4 linked regions of the Callithrix jacchus genome follow. The protein of the gene in region 1 interacts with the protein of each later gene in a pairwise test. Links are inferred from orthologs where the notes say so. Each region holds a gene or a part of one and is shown on either strand. Other genes may lie near its edges.

Region 1 (4,064 bases):
TCTCACTAGCCCTGTTTAGAAAGCTTTGCACCTGGCCACACTCGTCCTGTCCTTTAGACTGGGGCCTTCCTGTTCTCATCCCTTTCAAAACAAACTTACCTGAAAATATCTAATAATAAAGACATTTCAGGGTTAATTCAAGTCTTCACAGTTACTTCTTACTAGTAGGGTAGGGGACAGGTATTTGCATTTAAAATCTTAACTCTCATCCTGAAATGAAAACCTTTATTTGTATTCAATTGAATGGGGTGTTCCTATTCTATATTTAAATTTTCCTAAAATCCATTATAGCATGTGTCTTATCACACGTTTTCACAAGCCTTCCCCTGCACCTCTCTTCTGTGTAAAAACATGAAACCTACGGTTTACTAAGGAAGATCCTGGCTGCTAAAGAAACCAACTCAATCTTAATGTTTGGAGAACACTGGATTTGGAGTAAGATGATCTAGGTTCATGTCTCAATGAATCATCCATTTCAAGTGCAAGTAGATGGACAAATCCATGGACATATCCTTCATTCTCTCTAAGCCTGGGTTTTCTAATCTTCTGAAAGGAGCTATTAATAACATCTGACACACTTGCTAAGTGTATAGGGTATTTCTGAACCTCTAAAGTAATAATGAACATGGAGGTACTTACCAATGTTACATAGCCTTAGTGATCTTGGGCATCTGAGATTTCACTAAATTTCATTCCTTGTTCCATTTTCCCTTCCTTGGGTTAGAAAAAATACATTGACCCAGTCAATTCAGACAAGAATAAAAAATATAACTAAGAGTTTTCAGAATAATGAAAAGTTTCAGGTTAAAATGGCATGATCACTCTCTTCATGCAAACATGAGAGCTATGAAACACTTATTAGAACTAATATCCCAGGTTACTCTATTCATCTGTGAAGCTCAATTTGTCAAGAAACAGCATAATGGTTTTATAAAATCCAGAGGGAACCTGGGTGGAGGGATGTGGGTGAGCATTAAATTGATAGAATATTAAAGTAGAAAATGAGCGTTAAAGTGATGAAAGTAGAGTGCAAATAAAAGACTTTAAGAATAAAAAGTAGTCAACTCCATGTATTAGGAAGGACTTCTGTGGCTAAAATAAATCAAACACAAAATTCAAGTGCTTAAAACAGATCACTCAAGGTGTCAGTTGGAAAACATATATTCTTTCCTATCATTTCCTCTATGAAATGAAGAGAGAAATTTGTCATCAATGACTCTTGGAATTTGGTGGGAAAAGGAAGGAATTTGGAATCAGTCCCACTGAGTTTCGTTCCAGCTTCTCCACTTAGAAGCCATTCATTCCCTTCTCCCTGAAGGGAGGCAACACTGTCCCGCTCGCCTGACTGGCAGTTTTCTAAGAACCCATCATAGGTGACGGGAAAGCCAGGTACAAGCTGGAGTCACCACAGAAACCAGGGACTGAGCAGTGAAATCCAGCTCCTCCCAGCTGGAAGACAGTCGGGTGAACGGAAAGGAAATCAGTTCTCTTTACCCCACGTTTCTTTTTCATACCACTTCAAATTTGAGTAAGAGGAAAGAGGGCCAAGGGGATTTAAAGAACCTGGCTGACAACTCCCCAGCGGTCTACAGTACCTTTGTGATCGCCTTGTTTCATTAAGTCAACAAGTATTTCGGGCTGCAGCTGGGTGCTGGGCCCTGGGGTAGCAGTGGGACTACAAAGAAGAAAATCCCAGAATACAGGGGACACTGGACACATAACTGCGGGATAGCGAGGTCGCGCTGGCGCGGGGCGAGGTTGGAGGCAGCCGAGGAGCCCCCGCAAGGGCCGCGTCCGCCGCCGCCTCGCCCTTCCCCCACCCCGACAGCCGCGAGTTTGCCCGCGACGTCCCCATGGCAACCAGCGGCGGCGCGGCGCGCTGGGAGGGAGAGCCCCAACAGCCTAGAGGGCCGCGCGGCTGGAGGGCCTAGGCGGCGGGAGCTCGGCGGCGGGTGGCGGGCCCCCTTGGGGCGGGCCTGGCCGGGCGGGAGGTGACCTACGCGGTCCTGCGCCCCGGGCCTCAGACCTCTCGGGCAAGCGCGGCGCGGTGCGGTGCAGCGCAGGTAATGGCTCTGAGCTTCCCCGGCCCTTCCTCGCCCTTGAACCTCACCCTCTCCCTTCAGCCGGGCTGGCGCGGGATATCCAGCGGGACAGGGGGGCCCCGAAAAGGGCGGCTGCTCTGCAGGAGGCTGGGCTTGAACTGAGCGCGGGTCCCGTCGGGGCGCGTGGCGGGGAAACAGAGGCTGGGAGGGGAGGCCCGCCCTTGGAAATGCAGAGCAGAGCTGCGCCCTAGGTTAGAAGGCCTGGGCTCTAGTCGTGTGGCCTTGGGCAAGTCACTTAACTTGTCTGTGCCTCAGTTTCCCTGACGTTTAAGTGAGGGATTTGAGAACCTACAAAACCATTTATTCGTCTGCTCGTTCTGGTCAAGTTTTTTTTTCACCATCCCTGCTCGTCTCCAGTCTGCCCCGCACACAATTCCTGGGTCTCGCTTAAACTCTTCGATTTGGAAGTGTTGTGAGTCTGAATCTTCCTCCTCTTTCTACTCCCTTGAATCCTTTTTAATTAACTTTTATTCAGTGATTCAGAGGAGTTTTCAATACTTTCTCCAATTATCGTCATAGAATATTTTTTAGCTAAAATTTTGTTACCGTGAAAAACTTTTTTAAAAATTTTAACTTTAGGCAAGTACTAACGTCCCTAAAATTAGCCGGGTGTGGTGGCGTGCGCCTTTAATTCCAGCTATTCAGGAGGCTGAGGCAGGAGAATTGCTTGAACCCAGGAGGAGGTTGCAGTGAGCAAAGATTACGCCACTGCACTCCAGCCTGGGCGACAGAGCGAGACACGTTCTCAAAAAACAAACAAACAAAAAACTCCACAAAACAAATTCAAGTTTCTATATTTTTTAGGACCAAGAGCTACTACTATACAGAAAAACTCATACTAAGTGGTTTTTGCAGTAGGAACATTTTTATGTTTTATAGGTTAATGAATATAAACATTTTAGGAATTTGTGTCATTTTCCTCCAACAGGTTAAAAATCAAGAAATATAAACCAGATGTAGCAGTTTCTTGACATGGAGAACCAAGCCCATAATACAATGGGGTAAGTGCTGGGAAATTTCTGTTTAAATAAGTGCATACTTAACTATGCCAAAAACTTCCTGAGAACACATGAATTTTGGAATTTACTGTTAATAGAAGGATATGCCAATTGTTTTCGGTGAGGCGGATGAGAGGAAATACCAAGTGACTGTAATCAAGGATTATAATGTGAGTCTTTCTGATTTTGACACTACAGATCTGCACTCAAAAATCAGTTTTCCAACTTTTAGTGACTGTCTGATGTCTAAGGGTGATGGATACCAAGGCAGGCCTTATGTGCTCTTATATTACCACAATGCAGCCTCTTCGCCAGCTTGTTCCTTTTTTTGCTGCATTGAGTATCTCAAGTTTCCCTCTATTCTTGTCCATTAAGGCTGAACTCAACACTTAAACATAGCCTCAGAATAGATCCAACTCCATAAAAACATCAACAAGAAGTAAATATTTTACCAAAAGTTTCACGAAGAGATGAGGAATAAAATTTGTATAGCATTTGTCATTGTAGAAAATCAAATTCCTGTTTACAAATATCTGTCCTAACTGTTTACCTGCTACCAGCATCACAGTTTTCTTTTCCTGTTATTTCACTAGTCAACTGACCACTGGCTGAACATAGAGTTTGGGAGATGAGAGGATGAAGAGGTAGTTGTATAGTGCCTCATCTTGACTGTGACTGACTTTGGCACTAACCACAACCACTTCAGGTGTCTCACTTTCAGAGATTCTGCCCAGACCATGACTTTGATGTCAGGCTGAAGGAAAGCTGCAAAGTTTGGACAATAATCATTCCTATCACTTTTTAGCTCCTACTGCATACTCCTTCTTACAACAGCCCAGTCAGGTATTACTCTTATTTTACAACTAAGAAAAGTAAGTATATTACAGTCTAAGCTCTTATAACAAACAGACTCCAAAAACAGTGGCTTAAATAAGATTAAAGATTATTTCTGTTTCATATTGTT
Region 2 (4,114 bases), on another chromosome or scaffold:
AAGTTCTGGCTGTCCAGAATACAGACAAAACATCCACCTTAACAAAGCCTTAGTACATTCCTCTTTGGGTTTTGTGTGCAGTGGGTCACTGCATCTTAAGAAAAAGAAGCGCCAGAGAAAGGCAGGTAAAATGATTAAAAGAATAGAGGGGTGACTGGGAGCTGGAGGACATATAAAGAAGGTCCTTCTTTGGCTGGGGCCAGGGTTCAGGTCCTTAAGCATTCTCCAATGTGTGGAAGGACCCATGGGATCAGGTCTTCAAGTATTCTCCAATATTTGGACTTACATGTGGTAGCTGTGAATGGGGGGTGGGTGAGGGGGTGGGGGACACGCAGCCCACCTCAACAGTCCTTGAATGGGACAAAAACCACTCTAGACTGGTGCCTGCTTTCTCTCCCCAAATCACCACGGAATACAACCATAGAAACTCAAAAACAGTAAAAAACACCGACAAGATATTTTAAATGCTAATATTAAATCTCATTGTGAAAATTAGATTGAAAATAAATCCAAGGATGCAAGATTTATAATAGATTAACAAGGGAAATTAAGGATGTTGGTGGGTGAGGAGGAGATGTATCCTTAACTTTGTGATTCACACGATGGAGCTATACTGTGTCCTTCAGAGAAATGGTACTTGGTAATCTGAGTTGGACGGCTATCATAAACCATTTCCTATACACTGTTAGCATAGTCAGAAAGTGAGAGTTATGAATTGACATCGGGATTAGATAATTTGAATTTTTCACCCACAGCACAATTCCTTCCATCGTTTTCAATAAACAGAGCGAGAGGGAGACTCTGATGAACTGTTGCTCACGTGCTGAACCGTTAGCAACCCCGGGCTATCGGATCCCTGATGACCTTCCTTCAGAAAAACGAACGGACATCTAAACGGAACGAGGAAGGGGAGGGTAAATAACCAGAGTGTCCCTGAGTTGAGAGATGTTAAAAATGGAACACAATCAACACATGGGCCCTTACTTTTAGGTTAAAGATTCCTATACATAAATACATCTCGCCCTTGCCAAAAAATATTAGATTCAGGAAATTCATTCCTCACGAAGAAAATAATCCCCTCTCTTCCATTCCTTAGGTCCCTTACTTTACCTGCTTCTTTCCTCTCGAGGGCAGGAACTTTGAGCCCCGCCTCTCTGCTCCTTCAAGCTCCGCCTTCCCCGTCCACCTGTATGCCCTGCCCCTGACGTTACCCGTTGGCTTCAGTGGCTTGCAGGATTCCGGCTTCTGATTGGCCGGCCCGGCCACGGCTTGCGCAGCCCACCAATGGCAGCGGCGCTGGGTGGAGGGGTGCCCAAATCCAAGATGGCGTCCCCAGGAGCTGGGAGTGGGTGACCGGCAGCGGGGAAGCGGCCTGGGTTGGCCCTCAGATTGCGGGGTCTGGGGGCATCTCTCCAGGCAACCCCCCTGGCCCGCCTACAAGGCCTTCCCCCGGCCAGAGCAATGGCCGCTGAGAACAGCAAGCAGTTTTGGAAGAGGAGCGCTAAGCTGCCGGGGAGGTGAGCCCAGGACGCTGAGAGGGAAAGGGGATTGGACCAAACCCTTCCAGATCCTAATCCCTAATCCCGCGGGCCTGGGGCGCCACCGAGGCCGGAAGACTGGTTTGGGGAAGCCAGGCGGGGAAAACTGGGGCTGCCTGGTGGCTGCAGAGCAGCTGTCAGGCAGAGGAGAGAACAGCGAGCTTTGGGGACGGCTGGATGTGGGTGTAGACCGGGGTCTGGGGGCGGAGGTTTCAGGAGGGGTGACCTCAGCTGGAAGGTGGCCGAAGATTGGGCGTAACCCGCAGTGGAGTTGGGAGATAAGTCAGTGTCGGCCCTGGTCTCGGAGGTTCATCCCCAGAGCTGCTTCCCACTCTAATCAGAACTCCCTCTCAGTGGTCTCCACCACGCACAGGTGGTTGCTTGCTTGAGGATGGCCCCTTCCCTTGTTCCCCTAGCTGGACAATTACCCGAAGGATTCTGGTGTGAGTTTGTGGCTTCTTGCCGAGAGGGTTAGGTAAGAAAAGTGAGGACAATTCTCAAGCCTGACCTTACTTTATCTTGAGTTGGCCCTTTCCCACTAGGAATTAATACAAGGCGACCACAGAATCAGGGTTATTCCTTTGGCATTTTCTAAGGATTTGTCCAACCCCAAGTGACTTCTTCCTTCCTTGCATTGTAATGCTCTTCTTGTGCAAATGTACTAAATTCTTTCATTCTTCAGTTGTTTCGCTGGAGAGCAGACCTCCTCAGACTACCCCCCACCCCTTTTTTGGTGTATGTTGAGACTTTTAGCAAATTACCCATCCATCAATCTATTGGTTTACTGTTTCAGTTTATTTTGGGGAGAGTCCTGAGAAGTATAAAGTAGAGTGTGTATTTCAGTCGTGAATTTAAGATTTCTGCCAGCCACAGTCTACTTGGTGATGAAATTCATGTTTGGTTGTGCCCCACGTGCTACCTTTTCTAGTGGATTCAGGTTTTTTCCTTGTGAGATCATCTTTTGAACTCGTGATTTTTTTTTGAGACGGAGTGTCTCTGTTGTCCAGGCTGGAGTGCAGTGGTGTGATCTCAGCTCACTGCAGCCTCAAGCGATTCTCCTGCCTTAGCCTTCTGGATAGCTGGGACTACAGATGCGCGCCACCATGCCTGGCACATTTTTGTATTTTCAGTAGAGACGAGGTTTCACCATATTGGCCAGGCTGGTCTCGAACTCCTGACCTTGTGATCCGCCCACCTCAGCCTCCCAAAGTGCTGGGATTACAGGTGTGGGCCACTGTGTCCAGCAGACTTTATTTATTTATTTATTTATTTTTAAGCAAGAGAGAAATGTGGGTCAATAGTGGCTAGATAAGAGCCTTAATTTTTTCTTTTTTTAATGAAATAGAGACAAAGTCTCACTCACAATGTTGCCAGGGCTAGTCTGTAACTCCTGGCCTCAAGTGATCCTCTTACCTTGGCCTCTCAAAGTGTTGGGATTTCAGGTGTTAGCCACCATGCCCCAGCAAGTCTTATTTTATTAAGGATCCTATTAGACATATGGAGAATAGGGTGGAAATCAGCTTTTAGTAATATTTATTAAAATAATAGGAATGCAAAGATAACTTCAGATTAAAGTGCTGTGGATTTACAGTGTTAATATTACTGTTAAAGATGTTCTATGTCTTTAGGTAAGCACCACTTCCTGCCAGCTGATTCGTTTTCCTTCCTGGTCTAGTGAGCTCTCTGGTTGTGCTGACTGCTATTCTCTGGGATTTTCCATAGTGAGATCATTAAATTTTGACATCCTAAGATTATAATCAGAATCAATAGGAAAACTTGTATCAGGAAGCAGTGTAAGAGATGTGCGACATGGCATGGCCTTCTCTGCCTTCTGACTGGTGGTTGCTATTAACAGTCTTTTTTCCCCATATCTCCTGTGTTTGACTATAGAAGAGTCAACATTTTAAAAGCACTACTTTTCTGAGATAGGAAGAGAAGTCTTTTCAGTTTCCTCAAGTTTCTGGATTCCCTTTTCATTTTGAAGAATATGGAGAAATTGAGAGAGGGCCGGGAACAATGCCTCACACCTGTAATCCCAGCACTTTAGGAGGCTGAGGCGGGCAAATCACGAGGTCAGGAGTTTGAGACCATCCTAGCCAACATAGTGAAACGCCGTCTCTACTAAAAATACAAAAATTAGCTGGGTGTGGTGGCGCTGTAGTCCCAGCTACTCGGGAGGCTGAGGCAGGAGAACAGCTTGAACCTGGGAGGTGGACATTGCAGTGAGCCGAGATCATGCCACTTCACTCCAGCCCGGTGACAAAGGGAGACTCCATCTCTAAATAAATAAATAGACAAAGCAAGACTCCATCTCTAAATAAATAAATAAATAAGTACATAGAAATAGAGAACTTTTGCCGGGCACGGTAGCTCACGCCTGTAATCCCTGCACTTTGGGAGGCTGAGGCGGGCAGATCACGAGGTTAAGAGATCAAGACCATCCTGGCCAACCTGGCCAAACCCCGGCTCTACTAAAAATACAAAAATTAGCTGGGTGTGCTGGCGTGCACCTGTAGTCCCAGCTACTTGGGAAGCTGAGGCAGGAGAATTGCTTGAACCCGGGAATTGGAGGTTGC
Region 3 (4,049 bases), on another chromosome or scaffold:
TTCTCTGTTCATGCTCCCATGTATTGCCCACATAACTCTCAAAGCTGGACCTATTCCTGTCATCTTTGAGAGTTCTGTAGTGAGCTGGTACATAGTCCCATCGTTTCTGAAACTTCCACCAGCTAAGGAAGCATGAGAGCTTTTGAAACGGCTGTGTCGCTCCATATGAAACACAACACTAATGGCTGAAATGACACTCAATTCAGAGGCTGCTCTACCTCCCCGAACACGCGGATCTACTACACGACCACATGTATCGCGCTGGGTCTGCCAGCCTTTTTAGTGGCAGTTCTCTACTGTTGACACATTTGGCCTGTGGTTCCCAATGACTGCCGGCCAATTGAACTCCATCCTGTTTGCACGTTCCCACTTGTTGAAACAGTACAAGGCTGTCATTGTTTCATCAAGCATTTGTGAATGGCCTTTGTGTGAAAAGCACAGTGCTGGAGTTGCTTTTTTTTAAGGGACCAGTTTTAAGGGACCACCTGTGCATAATCATATACATCTGTTTATTTGCATGTTTGTGTGTATGTGTAACCACGTTTCTCTGAGCTTTGTAAAACATACCTGGAATCATGTACCCTCTTATTCCCTTAGTCTTCTGTGTGCCCCAGGCCCATGTCATCTGGCATAGATTACCAGTGCTACATAATGCAGCACTGCAGGGGATCTCTGTCATGGGAAATGACCACAGGAGACATGACCCAGCATGTTATTCTTCATGGAGTGCTTTGTGAAAGACCATGACTCTTGTAGCACCAGGCCAAGCTCTTTTTTAAGCTAAACGTTACTTAGGCAAAGAGATGCGTGTGTGTTTATGTGGCTGTGGCTGTATGTGCAAGTGTGTGGTTGTGTGTGTGCAAGTGTGTGTGTGTGTGTGTGTGTGTCAGGAGACTATAGAAGAAAGAATGGAAAGAATGAGATTATAGGTCTGAGGTGATATGGATAGAATCTGATTGCTCAGCTGTAAGGAATGGAGGGTGTGAACATGATTCACAGAGGAAACAGCAGGCGGTGGAACCCTGTACAGCTGGTCCCTGCTGGCCTATTTACTCAGGGGATAGACTGAATCTCATTTGGAGAAATACTCAGAGTTGCAGAAGAGAAAAAAACACCCTGAAGAGTAAGAAGTGCCTTGGGGAATTGAGGATGAGGACAGTGGACGTCCTGGTTAAACTAAATGCCCCTGACATGCCATCTACACCAACCATCCTCTGCAGCTCTGGCAGCATGCTACCAGGCACGGATCATTATTTAGTTTAAAAAAAAAAAGCAACTCTCTGCAGGATCCAATTACGTTCTTGGTTGGACACTTGAGCATTTGTTCTAAGGAGGATACACAGAGCCCAGGGCACAAGAGGGAGGAGGCAGTGGGCCTGATGCAAAGAGCCTGGGTTCACATCTCCACTCGGGGGAAATCCCTGAACCTCTTGATGATTCGGTTTCCTCACCTGCAAAACGAGCACAGTGACCGTACCTACCGTTCAGGGTTGCTATAAGTGTTAAAGATTATTTCAAAAATGCCCCTAGCACCAAGGGACTCAGTCAGCAGTAACTCTTTTGAAAATTCATGAGAGGGCTACAAGTTTTAGTAGGGTATTTACTGCAGCTGCGATCATCACCCCCCAACTGATGATCAGTTAGATAATCATTTCTTAATTCTCTAAACAAGATAAACAACAACCGTCTCTCCCACAGATGACATAGTGCAACTGACATTCCTCAAATAACTCAGAGGGTTCTACCTGCAGATGTGATGATTCCACCAGAGACAAGAAGCTTAATCAAACCCTCTGTTAAACTTCAAAGTTTAGGGGATATCATGGTAAATGTCGTATCAGACCGCGAAAATTAAACGAAGTCATGAAAAAGCGGACAAAGTGTCTGTTGTAAACAGAAACAGCTTCTTTTCTCCCAAAGATACTTAATTTTTTCCCCCTTCTTATCTATTTACTGCTGGGAACTGCTGAGCTTAACAAAGTAAACTTGGCTTTACTTATCAGAGCAAGCTCAGGAAGCCCTAAGAGGAGGGGCAACACAAACACTGGAGAATGAAATGTTCAACGAGAAGCCCAGAAGACAGCTTTCCGCCAACAACTCCCGGCTGCGGCGTGATCATTAGGCAGGCTCAGATATTACAGATACAAATGGGCATCTGCACTGTATGTGACTACAAACCCCAGCCATTGCCTGGAAGTCTACGACAAGGCAGGCATTCTAGGGTTCGAAGCGGTTGCTGGGATCTTTGCATTAAGCAATGATACAAAGAATGCACAAAACAGAACGTTACCCTCTTCTGAACTGCTCAAGGAAAATTCCTCACCCAAAATGAGATTAAGGGCCCAGTGCAGATAGGGCAGCCTTTCAATACCATCCAACACAAAATAGCATTTTATTTCATTCAAACCAGAATGGTTTCAGAATTCTTGTGAAAATCCAATATAGGCTGAATTTTCCTTCATACTATATGTAAGGAAAGATTAGCCGAGCAAATTAAAGATGAAAGGAATACTACAGGGACAGAACTTCAATAAACCTTAAGAATTTCAACGTACTGTCTGCAAGCAGATACTCTGGCTGTCCATCACACACACAGTGCATTGCGCACGCCTTACTGCGGGCAACAAGGCTGAATGCAATCGGGTCTCAGCTTACCTGCCAGCTTCAAGTCCAAACACTCCTTCATTCACTAGGCTCCAGTCGTGTTGCTTTCTTTTCCTGTTTTTTGAACCACCGCAGCTCATTCCCACCTCCAGGCCTTTGCACTTGCTCTTCTGTCTGCCAAGAACATTCTACTCTCAAATCTTCACAGGATCAGCTCCTCCTCCTTGTTCAGCTCTTGGCTCAAAGGTTACCCCTTAAAGTTCAATATTCCTCTGACTGTTCAGTTGTTCTCTATCATATCCTCAATTTCTTTTCTTCCTATCACCACCCTCTGGAATTCCGGATGTTCCTCTTTGTATAGTTACGTAATCACAGAACACCTCCACGAGACATTAAGGTCTGTGAGTGCTGGGGCTCTCCTTGTCACCACTCTAGCCTCAGGGTCAGGAGCAGGGTTTGGAAATCAAGTAGACTCCCAAAAATATTTATTAAAGGAAATTAATTACAAAATATCTAACATATCTGTTAAAGAATTTTCTTTTTCTTTTTCTTTTTTTTTTGAAACAGGGTTTCACTCTGTTGCCCAGACTGGAGTACAGTGGAGCAATCTCGGCTCACTGCAACCTCCACCTCCCAGGTCAAGTGATTCTCTTGCCTCAGCCTCCCGAGAACCTGGGACTACAGGCACGTGCCGCTATGCCCTGCTGATTTTTGTATTTTTAGTAAACAGGGGGTTTCACTATGTTGGCCAGGGTGGTCTCAAACTCCTGACCTTGGGTGATCTGCCCACCTTGGCCTCACAATGTGTTGGGATTATAGGCATAAGCCACTGTGCCCAGCCCTGTTAAAGAAATTTCTGAAAGACCTCTACCTAGAAACAATGTGAGGATATCCACATTATGTACTAGTGATTAACAAAACATCCTACTTTCCTAAACTTTATATTTCAGACTTTTCCCTAGTTTGAACTAGTGAGCTCTCTACCTTTCCATTATATATCTCCTCTATTCCATGTTATTTATCTAAACAGAGTAAAACTATCAAACTCTCTACACATATGATAAACTAAAATCAACATGCTGCTGATAGTTTTCTTTCCTTAGCATCACTGAGAAGCAGCAGAACATACTCCTGAAAAAAACCTCAGTCCCCAGGCTAATGTGGAGGGAGAAGCTCGATGGTGACTTGAACTCTCCCAACCCACGTAATCCTCCAGCATCTACAGGCTATTTGGGCCTTTGTCAATCACACACAAAGCTAGGAAAATACAGCCTGGGGATTCGATCTCCCTCCTACTTCCCTCCCTACCAGCCAATATTCCCCAGATCCAAATGACCAGTGTAGAACTTCTCTTTCCCTGTCTTAAAGAAGCAGTTCATCACATTATTTCCTTTTTAATTTCTGTACATTTAGAGATAAAGATATTTCTAAAGCAAGAAATGAGA
Region 4 (3,983 bases), on another chromosome or scaffold:
CCTCTTTCTCTGGTGATTGTACTGCGGTTGAAGAATCCTGGCCATGTTCCTTCTCCAGACCATTGTGACTGGGTAATGATGAGCTGTCCCCTGGAGGTGTTGACTGTTGTTCAGCTGCAAGCTGTTCAGAGTGATTAGCCTCCATCTTGGGAGTAGTATCTAGAGGTAAGCACAGTTAGGCTTTATGTAGCGAACCTAGTTGCTGCATATCAATGCTACATTTCAATGGCAGGGATATCCCCCAAGTGAATACCAACTAATTATGCTTTCTACCATAGAGTGAATGTCCTTTCACAAACCATTCATGTTACAATTATTAAAGTAGAAACAGTGGAAGTTCTTTTACCAAGTCAAGTTATACTACTGGCATATTTTTGGTTTTGATCTTCAATTTTCAGTGGTATTCCTTATTATTCACATTGAGAAATTAATTCATTCTGTTGTTTTTTTGTGACCATATTTTGTCATTTTGCCTACACTAGCCAGTTTGCATTATAATTTTCCTTTATAATTCTATAGATTAATAATCACTGGAGACACATGACTGCATATATTTAAAATATTTAAATCTAAAATGGCATTAGTTTTCTTTCAAAGTTAAAATATTTAATAGAAGACCCATTGAATTTATTTAAACGATTCATAACATCTGTAAGCTCTATTTGATCCATAATTCAATATTCTGCTTAGTATGAATATTTTGATGTAAATGCATTATTACACTGGAAACAAGAGTGCTTTCTCACTTTTCTGGCATTTTCTTTTTCAGAAAAGCAACACGAATACTTTTTCTGAGGTTAGAACTGGCATCATTTTTGGAATAAGACAGAGAATAAGGGAAGACATAAATAAATAAACCAAGTAGTCTGTAAACATGGGCTAGGCATGGGGGCTCATGTCTGTCATCCCAGCACTTTGGGAGGCCGAGATAGGTGGATCACTTGAGGCCAGGAGACCTGCCTGGCCAACATGGTGAAACCCCGTCTCTACTAAAAGTACAAATATTAGCTGGGTGTGGTGGCAGGCACTGGTATACCCAGCTTGGGAGGCTGAGGCATGAGAATTGCTTGAACCTGGGAAGTAGAGGTTGTAGTGAGCCAAGACTGCGACAGTGCACTCCAGCCTGGGCAAGACAGAGCAAGATTTCATCTCAAAAAAAAAAAAAAGAGGAAGAAAGAAAAATAGAAAAGAAACATGGTGATGCTTATACCAACAATTCCTTAAACTTCTATAATACTCTTTTATTGCAATATATAAACCAACTTTTAAAAAGAAAAAGCAGATTACAATTTTCTCTAAGTCAGGAAGCTCTAGAAAAACAATAATTGTTAAGAAGTAGCAATGTTTCATAAACAAGGAGGAAACCAACTGGAGAAATAATTCAACTAATAATGGCTCTTAGGAAAGGGTTAGAGATGGAAGTGAGTCAGAGATTCCAGGGTTTCTGACTATTATGACTTCTAGGGTTGCAATAGATTTGGTTTAGCCCTTTAAGTTATGGTGCATTTTATTTGTAAATAATATTTAGCAATAACGCTGCCAATTAGCAACATAAAAATATGGCAAGATCCTCATAACTCACAGATTTTGCTGTTGTGGTAACATGAAAGTGAAAACAAAAACATACAGTTTTACAAACTGCACAGCTTCCTTTTCCTGTTCTCAGGGCAGTAGATGTCAATCAAATGCTCGGACACCAACAAGAACAGAAAACTCAACACAGAGACGTTGCCACCGACTCGTGATGCTCACCAAGCACTCATAACTTGGAGGAAGTACTTTTTCCTTTCACTGATTTGAATTCACCAACTTGATTACCAAATAATGCAGCACACAGTTTCATTATCTTCGTCACTGGGATTTTCTCACCCTGACCTCTGCTTGTTGATTGCGCTCATCTATATATAACTTATCCCCCGCCCCAACCCCAAACTCAGAGAAAGACACATGGCACCTGCTGTCCAGCCAGAAGCTATTTTAAGCTCTTCTAAAATGAGTCATGGCATTTAGCACTTCATCCTTGAAAATCAAGAGAATAATTTTTCAATCAAATTGAAAACAGTAAACATTTACTGGCTTAAATCCGCACGTGGGTTTTAATGCTCAGGAGACTACCATGGGAAGAAATAAAATCTCATGTAAAACAAACTTCAAAATAATTAATTGAAAGTAGACTGTCCATAGGAGTTTCACTTTGGTTAGTCTAAATCCAAGTGGTTGTTTGTATTTGATTCATTCTTTATCAGATGCCACAGTCATTAATGTTTTTAATTCTTAACTCCAGGGCTACTCTTTAAACTCCTGTTCCACATTTACTTTAAAACAGAATAGTCAGTATAAACCCCGGGACAACTCAATTTCTACAAGTAGCCTCAAGACAAGTTCATAAGAGGGGAAAAAAACAACATAGTCAAAGAACTTTGTTACTTTCAAATCATTAGTTTTATATTATGTAGCAAAGAAATTATTTCTAATTTTTTTCTTAAATAAACTTAATTGCCTTATTTTCCCCTCCCCAGGGAGAGAACTTTTCACTTGTGTTGGCTATTCCAGATGACTATCACAGACACATCCCGCCCTGAGGAACACACTTTATTTATAAATACAACAATGAAAAGTTCTCCAACAGTTCACTGACAATCTCAAAGTTGCAAGTTCTGAACACCACAAACCGCACACTACGTCTTCTCACAGGGCTTGGGGGAGTGTTTGTCATACTTACCAGAAGGCAAGGAGCTAAGCAAGAAGAGAGAGGAGAGGAAAGAGGCAGGAAAAAGCAAGTCAGAGCTGCAGCAACAGCAGGAGGGGCGGGCTGGTGGTGTTCTTACAAGGGAGAGAGAAACCCGATACACACACACACACACACACACACATGCACACACACAAACACACGCACGCCACAGGCACTGATGGAGGCAGCAGTCTGGAGGAGGTGGGGGTAGGGAAAGGCACATCGTATGACACAGCAAGGGGAAAATACACCCAAGCTTCCCTAGCTGTCGCCAGGGGAAACGTCTTAGCAGAGAGAAGCAGCTGGTAGAGCTCATCGGACTCTCCATGTTGTTTGTCTCTTTGGAAATTTAAGCTCTGAGTATATCACCCCCTTTGCGAATGCAATCTTTCACCATTATCCTTTTGGGTAGAGATCAGTTTTTCTTACTTCTTGGTTTATCTGCAGAGTGGTGGATGATTCATCTTTTTTCTTCTGCTGCTTCTTGCGCTAGCTTAATTAGTGTCAGGTTTCTTATAGGAATCATGGAAAAAGAAAAACAATGGCATCAGCACAGGGAGGTGGTGGAACCATTTTAATTATGATGTCATTGTTTGGTTTGTCTGCAAAGTTTGAAATAAAAATGTAGATGGTGATTTTGGAACTGAACTAAGTATAATCTTCATGCATGCTGTAATTGGTGTGACCTCGCAGCCGTCTTTCCCAGGTAACTGTGTTCAAACAAACCCGTAGGGAAGCAGTCTGCTTTTTCTTCCTTAGTTTGTGGCTTTCCCCGGCTTTGTAAATTCTCAAAATGCTTCTTGATCCCCCTCAGAAAAAGAACCTCTTTCTGATTCACCATGAAATGCCTCTCTGTTAATTTCCATCCATTCCTCTTTTCTTTTTCTTTCTGAGCTTGTGTTCTCATACTTCCAAAGCAGATTCCTCCATCAGTTTCTGCTCTGGGGACAGGCTGGACATAGTGGCATCCCTTGTGGTAAGCAGAATAATGCCACACAAAAGATCTGTCCCATTCCCTGGAACCTGAGTATGTTACTTTACATGACAAAAGAGGCTTTGCAGATGTGATTAAGGACCCTGATGTAGGGAGATTATCTTGAACTATCTGGGTGGGCTCAGTGTAATCACAAGGGTCTTTATAAATGAGCGAGGAAGGCAGTAGGATTGCAGGCGAAAAAAAGAGATTTGATGACCTCAGCGTAGGTCAGGAAGCTTCTAGAAGCTGGGAAAGGCAAGGAAACAGATTCTAGAG

The links.
Region 2: the proteins of DEUP1 (region 1) and TBC1D22B interact in binary tests that used the Homo sapiens proteins (3 or more experiments, as listed by UniProt). The link is inferred for Callithrix jacchus from reciprocal best matches to the Homo sapiens genes DEUP1 and TBC1D22B.
Region 3: the proteins of DEUP1 (region 1) and ESRRG interact in binary tests that used the Homo sapiens proteins (3 or more experiments, as listed by UniProt). The two-hybrid records come from large-scale screens. The link is inferred for Callithrix jacchus from reciprocal best matches to the Homo sapiens genes DEUP1 and ESRRG.
Region 4: the proteins of DEUP1 (region 1) and TXLNB interact in binary tests that used the Homo sapiens proteins (3 or more experiments, as listed by UniProt). The two-hybrid records come from large-scale screens. The link is inferred for Callithrix jacchus from reciprocal best matches to the Homo sapiens genes DEUP1 and TXLNB.

The regions. Positions count from the first base shown.
Region 1 is NC_133511.1:46,998,574-47,002,637, reverse strand, and holds the start of DEUP1 (deuterosome assembly protein 1), read left to right. Parts: upstream 1-1,264; 5' UTR 1,265-1,389; intron 1,390-1,595; exon of another isoform or gene 1,596-1,807; intron 1,808-1,862; exon of another isoform or gene 1,863-2,063; intron 2,064-3,030; 5' UTR 3,031-3,074; coding exon 3,075-3,103; intron 3,104-4,064. UniProt on the Homo sapiens protein: Key structural component of the deuterosome, a structure that promotes de novo centriole amplification in multiciliated cells.
Region 2 is NC_133505.1:45,599,866-45,603,979, forward strand, and holds the start of TBC1D22B (TBC1 domain family member 22B), read left to right. Parts: upstream 1-1,314; 5' UTR 1,315-1,461; coding exon 1,462-1,517; intron 1,518-4,114. UniProt on the Homo sapiens protein: May act as a GTPase-activating protein for Rab family protein(s).
Region 3 is NC_133520.1:12,250,467-12,254,515, reverse strand, and holds the start of ESRRG (estrogen-related receptor gamma), read right to left. Parts: upstream 2,801-4,049; 5' UTR 2,745-2,800; coding exon 2,656-2,744; intron 1-2,655. UniProt on the Homo sapiens protein: Orphan receptor that acts as a transcription activator in the absence of bound ligand. Binds specifically to an estrogen response element and activates reporter genes controlled by estrogen response elements.
Region 4 is NC_133505.1:146,070,098-146,074,080, forward strand, and holds the start of TXLNB (beta-taxilin), read right to left. Parts: upstream 2,801-3,983; 5' UTR 2,723-2,800; intron 1,880-2,722; exon of another isoform or gene 1,753-1,879; intron 160-1,752; exon of another isoform or gene 146-159; coding exon 1-145. UniProt on the Homo sapiens protein: Promotes motor nerve regeneration. May be involved in intracellular vesicle traffic.